2 linked regions of the Cricetulus griseus genome follow. The protein of the gene in region 2 interacts with the protein of the main gene of each other region in a pairwise test. Links are inferred from orthologs where the notes say so. Each region holds a gene or a part of one and is shown on either strand. Other genes may lie near its edges.

Region 1 (3,784 bases), on a different chromosome or scaffold from region 2:
AGTTCACATTGACAGGTTTCAATTTGATCCATTAGCCAATTTGGGGAAAAGCCACATTGATCGAAGCACCTTGTCCGTGCTACACAAAGAGTAACTACTCAATGCCAGTATCAGATGCAAAATTCAGCTGCAGCACTGTTACACATTTTCCTAAATGTAGTCATTTACACAATTAAAAAACACACTTTTCTTGGGTGAGAAAGTGAAAACACAAGAACACATTTATTATAGTAAACACCCGTGTATTTACACAACCAAGCTCTTTCTGACTTCATCAACTGACTTAGCTACTCCAACAAACTCAAATTTTGGGAACATTTTTGGTATCTTGGTCAAGTGCTATGAGGATTTTAAAATCTAGGGCTATAATTTCAACTGATACTCCCCAACCCCTTGGGTTCATAATTCATAACACAATTGTGACTATTTAGAATCCAGATGACTCTTAAATTATTCAGAGCTATGCTTGATAAATGAGACTGAAAAGGGAATACAGAATTAGCTGAACTTAAATTCCTGAAGCTACCTGAATGCATCTTTAGACTTTATTTACAGTGTCCAGGACAGAAAGTTAGCTAACTACTCAAGCTCTGCTTAGACTTGTAGTCTTATCCTCTAACATTGCACTATGCTACTTTTTGTAGAGCTAACAGTAAAATACATCATCCCAAATCTTATGAAGGCAGCACATCCTTAAGAGTACCTATATATATAAAAAGTAGCAACATCAGTGGTTTCAATATAAAAATTTATTTTAAGTCAAAGTATGCAACAAATAAAACCTACAGAAAACAGATTTTCCCATCACAATCTGTTGCTTTAACCAAATATTTTGAAAACACATTCCTTCAGTCATTATAAAGTTCTTGAAATACAAAAGAAATTCAATCTGTAAGAAAGTCAGATGTTGTTAGGACTTGTACGTTGGAGGAAGTGGTCTCAGTACATCCCACGCCATCCACCTCCACTCATTCCACCTTGTCCATAGTAACCACCACCTCCACCACCACGACCTTAAGAAGACATTAAGAACATGAATCAGGAGAGGGCCATGCACATCATACTATTTGTATTTTTAGTGAAAGATATTGCCTCATACAGACTTACCATAACCTCCCAAGCCATCAGGAGTGCCATATCCTCCACTGTAGTTGTTCCCCATTCCCATTCTCCCAACAGATCCATATCCTCCTTGATTATCTGCACATTAAAAAGTGACAGGATGGTTTCCAAACTAGCCAACACTGCTTATTCTAAAAAGTTTATAAACCCCGGTTTGGGAGGGATATATTGAAGCACCAAGGCCAACGTGGGCTACAGAGCAAGATGTCCCCACCTCACCTCCAATACAAAACTATACATACCCATTCCATCTCTGCCATAGCCTCCCATTCCAGAGCCACCTCCAGGGGTGGAATTCAAGAAGAGTTCAATATATCGATGTTCTTTAAAAAAAAAAAAAAAAAAAAAAAAGTGGAAAAAGGTAAGAATAATAGAGAAAGATAAAATGTACTAATCAAAGTTGATTAGCTAGTATTTAACGAAGGCTTATCCATAAAATATAGGACTATTTCAGGCAGCCATTAAAATCTAGACATTATTAATAGGTCAAATGATCTAACAGACATTTTAACCAGTAATTACTGTATAAACTGTACACACCTATGAACAGAAGCAGGCCAAAGACACCACTTACGCATGTTGTTTTTATCTTTAGACATGGCAGCCACTGCATCTTCATGTGTCACAAACTCTACATCTGCCTCTCCTGTTGCTCTGCCATCGGCTCCAATGTCAATATGAACTCGTATTGGATTGAGTGGTGAGAAGAACTAAATAAAAGTTACTCATTTTTAAATTCCAGTCATTTAAAATTAGCACATGCTTTTAATCTTTCCACTAAAATAAACTACTGAGGGTCTATAAGGGCTCCAGTATTGTGGAGGTAGGTTGAGTCATCCTTTGCTACAGAGATGGTCCAGTCTGCTTGGCTCACATGGGGAAGGAGTGCATTTTTTAAAATGCAAAGCAGTTACTGCTTATAAAGTAAGGCAATACTAAACTAAATGAAAACTGTGAAACTGGGAATACAGTTCCATGACAGAGTATGGTTAGTTAAGAGTATCTTCAAGTTTGGGATTGTTGCAGACCCTACTACTAAAGGCAAACTCCTACATGATTGACTCTATTCTTAACAGAGTGGTTTTTTTGTTGTTTTGTTTTTTTTTAACCTGCTTAAAATCTCACATAATGGGCACAAACACCTATGTGTATATTAGGCAAATAATCTATCACTAAGTGACAATCTTAGCCTGAATCTTAACAAATAAAAGAGGTAAGGCATGGTGGCTGCCTTATGCCTAAAGTCAAGTTAGAATTTCTAAATTCTAGTCTCGTTTGGGCTACGGTGAGACCTCCCCGCCAATAATAATAATAATAAAAAAATACCCACTATATACCACTTACATTAGCAATATCATTTTCTGTTGCACGAAAAGGCAGCCCTCTCATGTGCACAAAATGACCACCATGGAAACCTGAACTTGCATCACCAGCTCCACCATAGCCATGTCCTCCCATGCCTAGATTATAAACCATTGTGGGTTCACATAAGTACATATAAATCAACAAGCCAGCGCAATGACACAAGTTTCCATTATCCCATCAAAGTTGCCTAGTTACTACCAGCACCTTATAAAGGAAACAGTAAAATTTACTTTGGCATGATATTCTTAGTTTACCTCTTCCATCTCTCATCCTGTCATCAAAGCCATCATTTCCATAGCCATAATTATTATAGCCACCATAGTCATCAAAACCTCCATAGCCTGTGCAAATGTAAGGAAAAAGCAATTTGTAAAAATCATTTTGTAGTGAATTATTTTAGCTTCTTCATTAATGTTTGCAACTTACTGCAAATGGGAAAAGGAAAAGCAGTTAACCCTTGATGGAAATGTAAACATCCACAGAATAAATTCAAACACAACATGAAAACCAAATGTCATCTTTATGCCCAGAAGAAACATGCCAGTTATCTTTATTTCTACATTATTTCTAGGTGTTAATATGTGCATCAATCAAGTTCCACAGTGGAAATCCCACAATTTCATGAACAGGTTTTAAAACCTCATAGGTACTGAAATTACTGCCATTTCTGTATTTCTTGACAAAATGTCAGGAACATCAAGAAAATGACAACAGAACCTTTTGTTCATTAGATACACATACCACCATCATATCCATCACCTCCTCGTCGCATTCTGTCATACATACTTCCACGCCCAGCTCCATAATAACCCCCTCTTCCTCCTATTGGTCTATCATATGGTCCCGGTCGCTGTCCCAGCAATCTTCTTGGTGGATCATAAAATCCTTTGATTTCACTCCTGCTACTCCTGAAGATCTCAATATACCTATTTAAAAAGGTTTAAAGTACAGGTTTCAGCATAGATGTATTAGAGAGTAAATTAGATACTGGGCAAAATGCAGTAAGTTTGTCTATATCTAGGTACATAACCCAATTTAAATTGCCTAAATAAACCATAAGTAACATTTTTACACCTACAAACTTAAATAATTAAATATTTAAGTTTTACATAGACAAATGAGTAATTTGAAAACACTGAATTATGAATATATTTTTAATTTGTTTCCTTTAGCACAAGATAGGTACATAAGAAAAACAGGTGATTATACAAAATTTAATGACATCCTACAAAGAAATGGAAACAATCTAAGTTTAATTTAAACTATTAGCATTAATTTCCCCACCCAAATCTGTAGT
Region 2 (4,414 bases):
GACTGGAAACAAGCAAACAAACAAAAGAACCAAATGTGTCCATTTTTTTTATTAAGCCTTTCATTATTCCATTAATGGCAATCACCCCTCAAATATCAGACATACAAACAGGCCTCTACCCCACTGTGTCAATAGAAGCAATACACTTCGACCTGTAGCTCTCGAAAACTTTTTCTGTGGCCATAGAAATACAGATGTGTCCCTGGACACCGGTGGTAGAGGTAAGTCTATTTTTCTCGGAAGCTTTCCATTACAATACTTATGTAGCCATTTCAACCTAAAACTTTAATTAAATGTTTTCCTTTAAGAATTTTCAAAAACTAAAGCCTCCCTCCCTAAGTTCTTCAAAATATCAAGTGAAGGGATCTAAAAGAGCAAGAAAAATGCCAAACTAGAGGGGAACAAGAAAACATGCTTTCGTTAAGGTGATGTAGGGAATGATTGCCTCCACTATAGGAGTCATTGTAGATAAAATATGCACCCCTACAATTCCCTCTGAAGGCAAGATGCCTCTCTTTCAAGGAATCTCTCCATTTACTTGATCCAGGTTTGGTCCATGGATTTAACCTCCCGACTCCCGCGCTCCCCACTGGAGTCCAGCCTCTGCCGCTTGGAGAAGGCCGGCCTATCGCGCGCTTGGAGCTCATTGGCTCTGAGAGACGCCACTCGGGCGGGAAAAGCCCGCCTCCCGCATTCGGATGGCCCAAGGGCCGATCCGTAGGCAGCTATAGGAAGACCCAATTGGCCTATACACTCGTCAGTCAAACGCTCTGGTAGCGCAGCCCAAAAGGACCTGGCAGAATTAAAACATCCCGCCCCCGTTCTCCCATTGGCTGGCCCGACCCATCGCGGCCCCTTCACTGTCGCTCCCCCAAGTCCAGCGGGGCCCATTCATTTCGTACAATAACGAGTCCAATTGGAGCGGGTCCAGGAACTCCCACGGTTAGTCAAGACTCTGCCACTTACCCGGGATCTACAGTGACCACTCACACTAAGGCCTGCGCGGTTCCTCTGTGGTAAAGCTGCACCACAAGCCACCCGCTACCGCCGCCTTCTGCGCAACGCCAGCCGCCCGCCAAAACGGATCCTTTCCCTGCGCCTGCGCAACCAATCCTGGGCCCAGACCTTTTCTCCGCCCAAAACGCCTGCGCAAAGCAGGACGCAGCTCCCGCCAGTACGCAGGCGCCTTAGGTTCACCGCCCTCTCCCGCCCGCCGCCCGCCATTTCACGTGTTCAGTAGGCGAGCGGAACTCCTTAGTGCGCCGGCGTAAACTCGCCATTTTTATTACACATGCGCTCTCCGGGCAGTGGCTGCAAAAGTGGTAGCGAACTACTTTTCCTAACGTGTCGTGTTTTGCCAAGTGAGGTTATAATGTTCGGACGCTGGGAAGTTATGCAAGGCGTTTAAAGACATGGGTACATTCAAATATAAACCACTGGTTAGCTAGTCAATCAACCTGGTTAAAAAAAAAATCCCCCAGAGCGTCGATGACTCCGAAGGGCGGAGACTGCGTAGAACGCCCCAGCAGATGCCATCTCTTAGCAGGGCGGATCCACAGACCTAGAGTGGGCGGGAACAATTCCAGATCTCCAATCAGAGTAAGGCCAGGGCGGAGTCTACCAATGCCGAAAGCGAGGAGGCGGGATAAAAAGGCGAGCCGAAGGTAGGCTGGCGGATACGTTCGTTGACTTACTCCTTTCTGCCTGTTGACGCGGCGGAGGAAGCATCGCTGAAGGCTCTCGTTTCCCTGCCGTCATGTCTAAGTCGGAGGTGAGTTGTGCGCGCTCTGCGGCTTCGTTTCCTTCCATACGCAATGAACAGGACGGGATGCGACCTATTTTTCTGGCTGGCACCCATGCTTTCGGTGTTTGATCGGTCGTTGCCGAGGCCTGCTCACAAAGTGCAGGTCGCCATTTTGTCCTCGTAGTCGCCATGAGGCTGCCGTCCGCTAACCGCTAGTTTCCACACTCGGCTCCTAGTGGCAGAATTCACAGATATGCGACCTTGGGGGTTGTGGCTCTTTTTATTTTCTTTCTTGGCTTTGCCTAACTAACGTCTGCTAAGGCTTCAGTAAGTTTTAATGGCGATTGACCAGTCCAGCCCGTGTCTTTTGTTGCGCGTGCGTATAGAGTAGGGACGCATGCGCTGCATGCTAGTCCTCCCCCCCACGCCCCAACAGCACCTCCTGGCCCAGAGAGGAGCACGTGGTCTTGTGCTGTAATAAAGAACAATAAAAAAGTGCGGCCTATGTTGATGCGTGGAGTTGATCCATTCGCTCAAGTTCCAGCCCCTTAGCTAACGGCTCTCCTTTGATCCGATTCAGTCACCCAAGGAGCCGGAACAGCTGCGGAAGCTCTTCATTGGAGGGCTGAGCTTCGAAACAACCGACGAGAGTCTGAGAAGCCATTTTGAGCAATGGGGAACACTCACCGACTGTGTGGTAAGATTAGAAGGAACAAAAGGCGGGGCTGGTTTAATTTTATTGCTTTAATCATGCCGCACTTCTTACCCAGATGCTTTGTGAAGGTAATTAATGGTATAATTTTAAAAGGATCTTTGTTTGGGGGCCTTATGCTTGAGTCTAAATGGAGTTTTATGCTGGACATGTTCAGAGTTGGAATGGCCTCAGGTCCTGATATCAGGCAATATGTTGATTGAATTAACTCTATAAACAGGTAATGAGAGATCCAAATACGAAGCGATCCAGGGGCTTTGGTTTTGTCACGTACGCTACTGTGGAAGAAGTAGATGCCGCTATGAATGCAAGGCCACACAAGGTGGATGGCAGAGTTGTGGAACCTAAGAGAGCTGTTTCAAGAGAAGTGAGTGTTATTATGCTAATAGTTGGGTTCTCTTTTATCTAGACGCCAGATAGACCCCTAGAGTGCTGGGATTAAAGGCGTGGGCCACCACAGCTGCCAATCATTTGAAATGTACTAATAATGACTGCATCATTTTCCTTTTAGGATTCTCAAAGACCAGGGGCCCACTTAACTGTGAAAAAGATCTTTGTTGGTGGTATTAAAGAGGACACTGAAGAACATCACCTTCGTGATTATTTTGAGCAGTATGGGAAGATTGAAGTGATTGAAATCATGACGGACAGAGGCAGTGGGAAAAAAAGAGGGTTTGCTTTTGTCACCTTTGATGACCATGACTCTGTGGACAAGATTGTTAGTAAGTGTCAGATAATTAGATTTCTCTCCTCCTCCTCCCTCCCCCACAAACTGGGAATATTCTGTAGCTTTGGGTCCTTTCCTGGAAATGAGACCCGCCCTCAAACTCAGATGGCCTGTCTCTGCCTCCTGAATGCTGGGATTTATGGGGTGTTCCACCCCCCAGCCAGATTACATTTTTCTTTTGGGTGGATTCGAGACAGGGTTTCTCTGGCTTTAAAGGCTGTCCTGGAACTAGCTCATGTAGACCAGGCTGGTCTGAAGCTCAGAGATCTGCCTGCCTCTGCCTCCTGAGTGCTGGGATTAAAGGCGTGGGCCACCAACACCCATCGTGCTCAGATTTCTTAATGACTGGGACTCAGTGTGTTTAAAGCCCTAAAGTTAACTTTTTTTTTTTAAGTTCAGAAATACCATACTGTGAATGGCCACAACTGTGAAGTGAGAAAAGCCCTGTCAAAGCAAGAGATGGCCAGTGCTTCATCCAGCCAAAGAGGTATCTCTTGCTTAGTTAGAACTTGCAGAGGGTAGTTGGGTTGTTGCTGCAAGTTGGTCTAATGTAATGATCCAAACATCTCTTAAGGTCGAAGTGGTTCCGGAAACTTTGGTGGTGGTCGTGGAGGTGGTTTTGGCGGCAATGACAACTTTGGTCGAGGGGGAAACTTCAGTGGTCGAGGTGTGTACCTTTTGGATTTCTTAATTGCTTTTGGAACGATGGATAACTGCTAGTCTTTGTTTATAGCATTTAGATTTTACCCAAAACATAAGTTTTCGTTACACAGAGATTAGCATTTGCTTCATTCATATACCTAAAGCTCTGGTTTCTTACAGGTGGCTTCGGTGGTAGCCGTGGTGGTGGTGGATATGGTGGCAGTGGGGATGGCTATAATGGATTTGGTAATGACGGTAAGTTTCTTAAGGAATCCGTAAGTAAAATTTCTAGCAACCTATACCTTTAGACTAGGCTAGTAGACACTAAACCTAGTGCATGACAAAATCAACCAGCCCCGTAATACGCATGCTGTGAGCAGGCCATTAGTCATTACACTTGCATAGATTTTTATTGTTAAATACTTTTGTCTTATTGAGAAGGCTTGTATTCTTGTAGGTGGTTATGGAGGAGGCGGCCCTGGTTACTCTGGAGGAAGCAGAGGCTATGGAAGTGGTGGACAGGGTTATGGAAACCAGGGCAGTGGCTATGGCGGGAGTGGCAGCTATGACAGCTATAACAACGGAGGAG

Evidence for each region.
Region 1: the proteins of Hnrnpa1 (region 2) and Hnrnph3 interact in binary tests that used the Homo sapiens proteins (3 or more experiments, as listed by UniProt). The link is inferred for Cricetulus griseus from reciprocal best matches to the Homo sapiens genes HNRNPA1 and HNRNPH3.

What each region holds. Positions count from the first base shown.
Region 1 is NW_023276806.1:273,847,055-273,850,838, reverse strand, and holds the end of Hnrnph3 (heterogeneous nuclear ribonucleoprotein H3), read right to left. Parts: intron 3,414-3,784; coding exon 3,229-3,413; intron 2,829-3,228; coding exon 2,742-2,828; intron 2,583-2,741; coding exon 2,467-2,582; intron 1,833-2,466; coding exon 1,697-1,832; intron 1,472-1,696; exon of another isoform or gene 1,446-1,471; coding exon 1,365-1,445; exon of another isoform or gene 1,201-1,364; coding exon 1,108-1,200; exon of another isoform or gene 1,014-1,107; coding exon 940-1,013; 3' UTR 731-939; downstream 1-730.
Region 2 is NC_048595.1:399,611,508-399,615,921, forward strand, and holds the start of Hnrnpa1 (heterogeneous nuclear ribonucleoprotein A1), read left to right. Parts: upstream 1-1,613; 5' UTR 1,614-1,756; coding exon 1,757-1,771; intron 1,772-2,324; coding exon 2,325-2,441; intron 2,442-2,676; coding exon 2,677-2,823; intron 2,824-2,967; coding exon 2,968-3,178; intron 3,179-3,577; coding exon 3,578-3,670; intron 3,671-3,757; coding exon 3,758-3,850; intron 3,851-4,005; coding exon 4,006-4,080; intron 4,081-4,282; coding exon 4,283-4,414. UniProt on the Homo sapiens protein: Involved in the packaging of pre-mRNA into hnRNP particles, transport of poly(A) mRNA from the nucleus to the cytoplasm and modulation of splice site selection.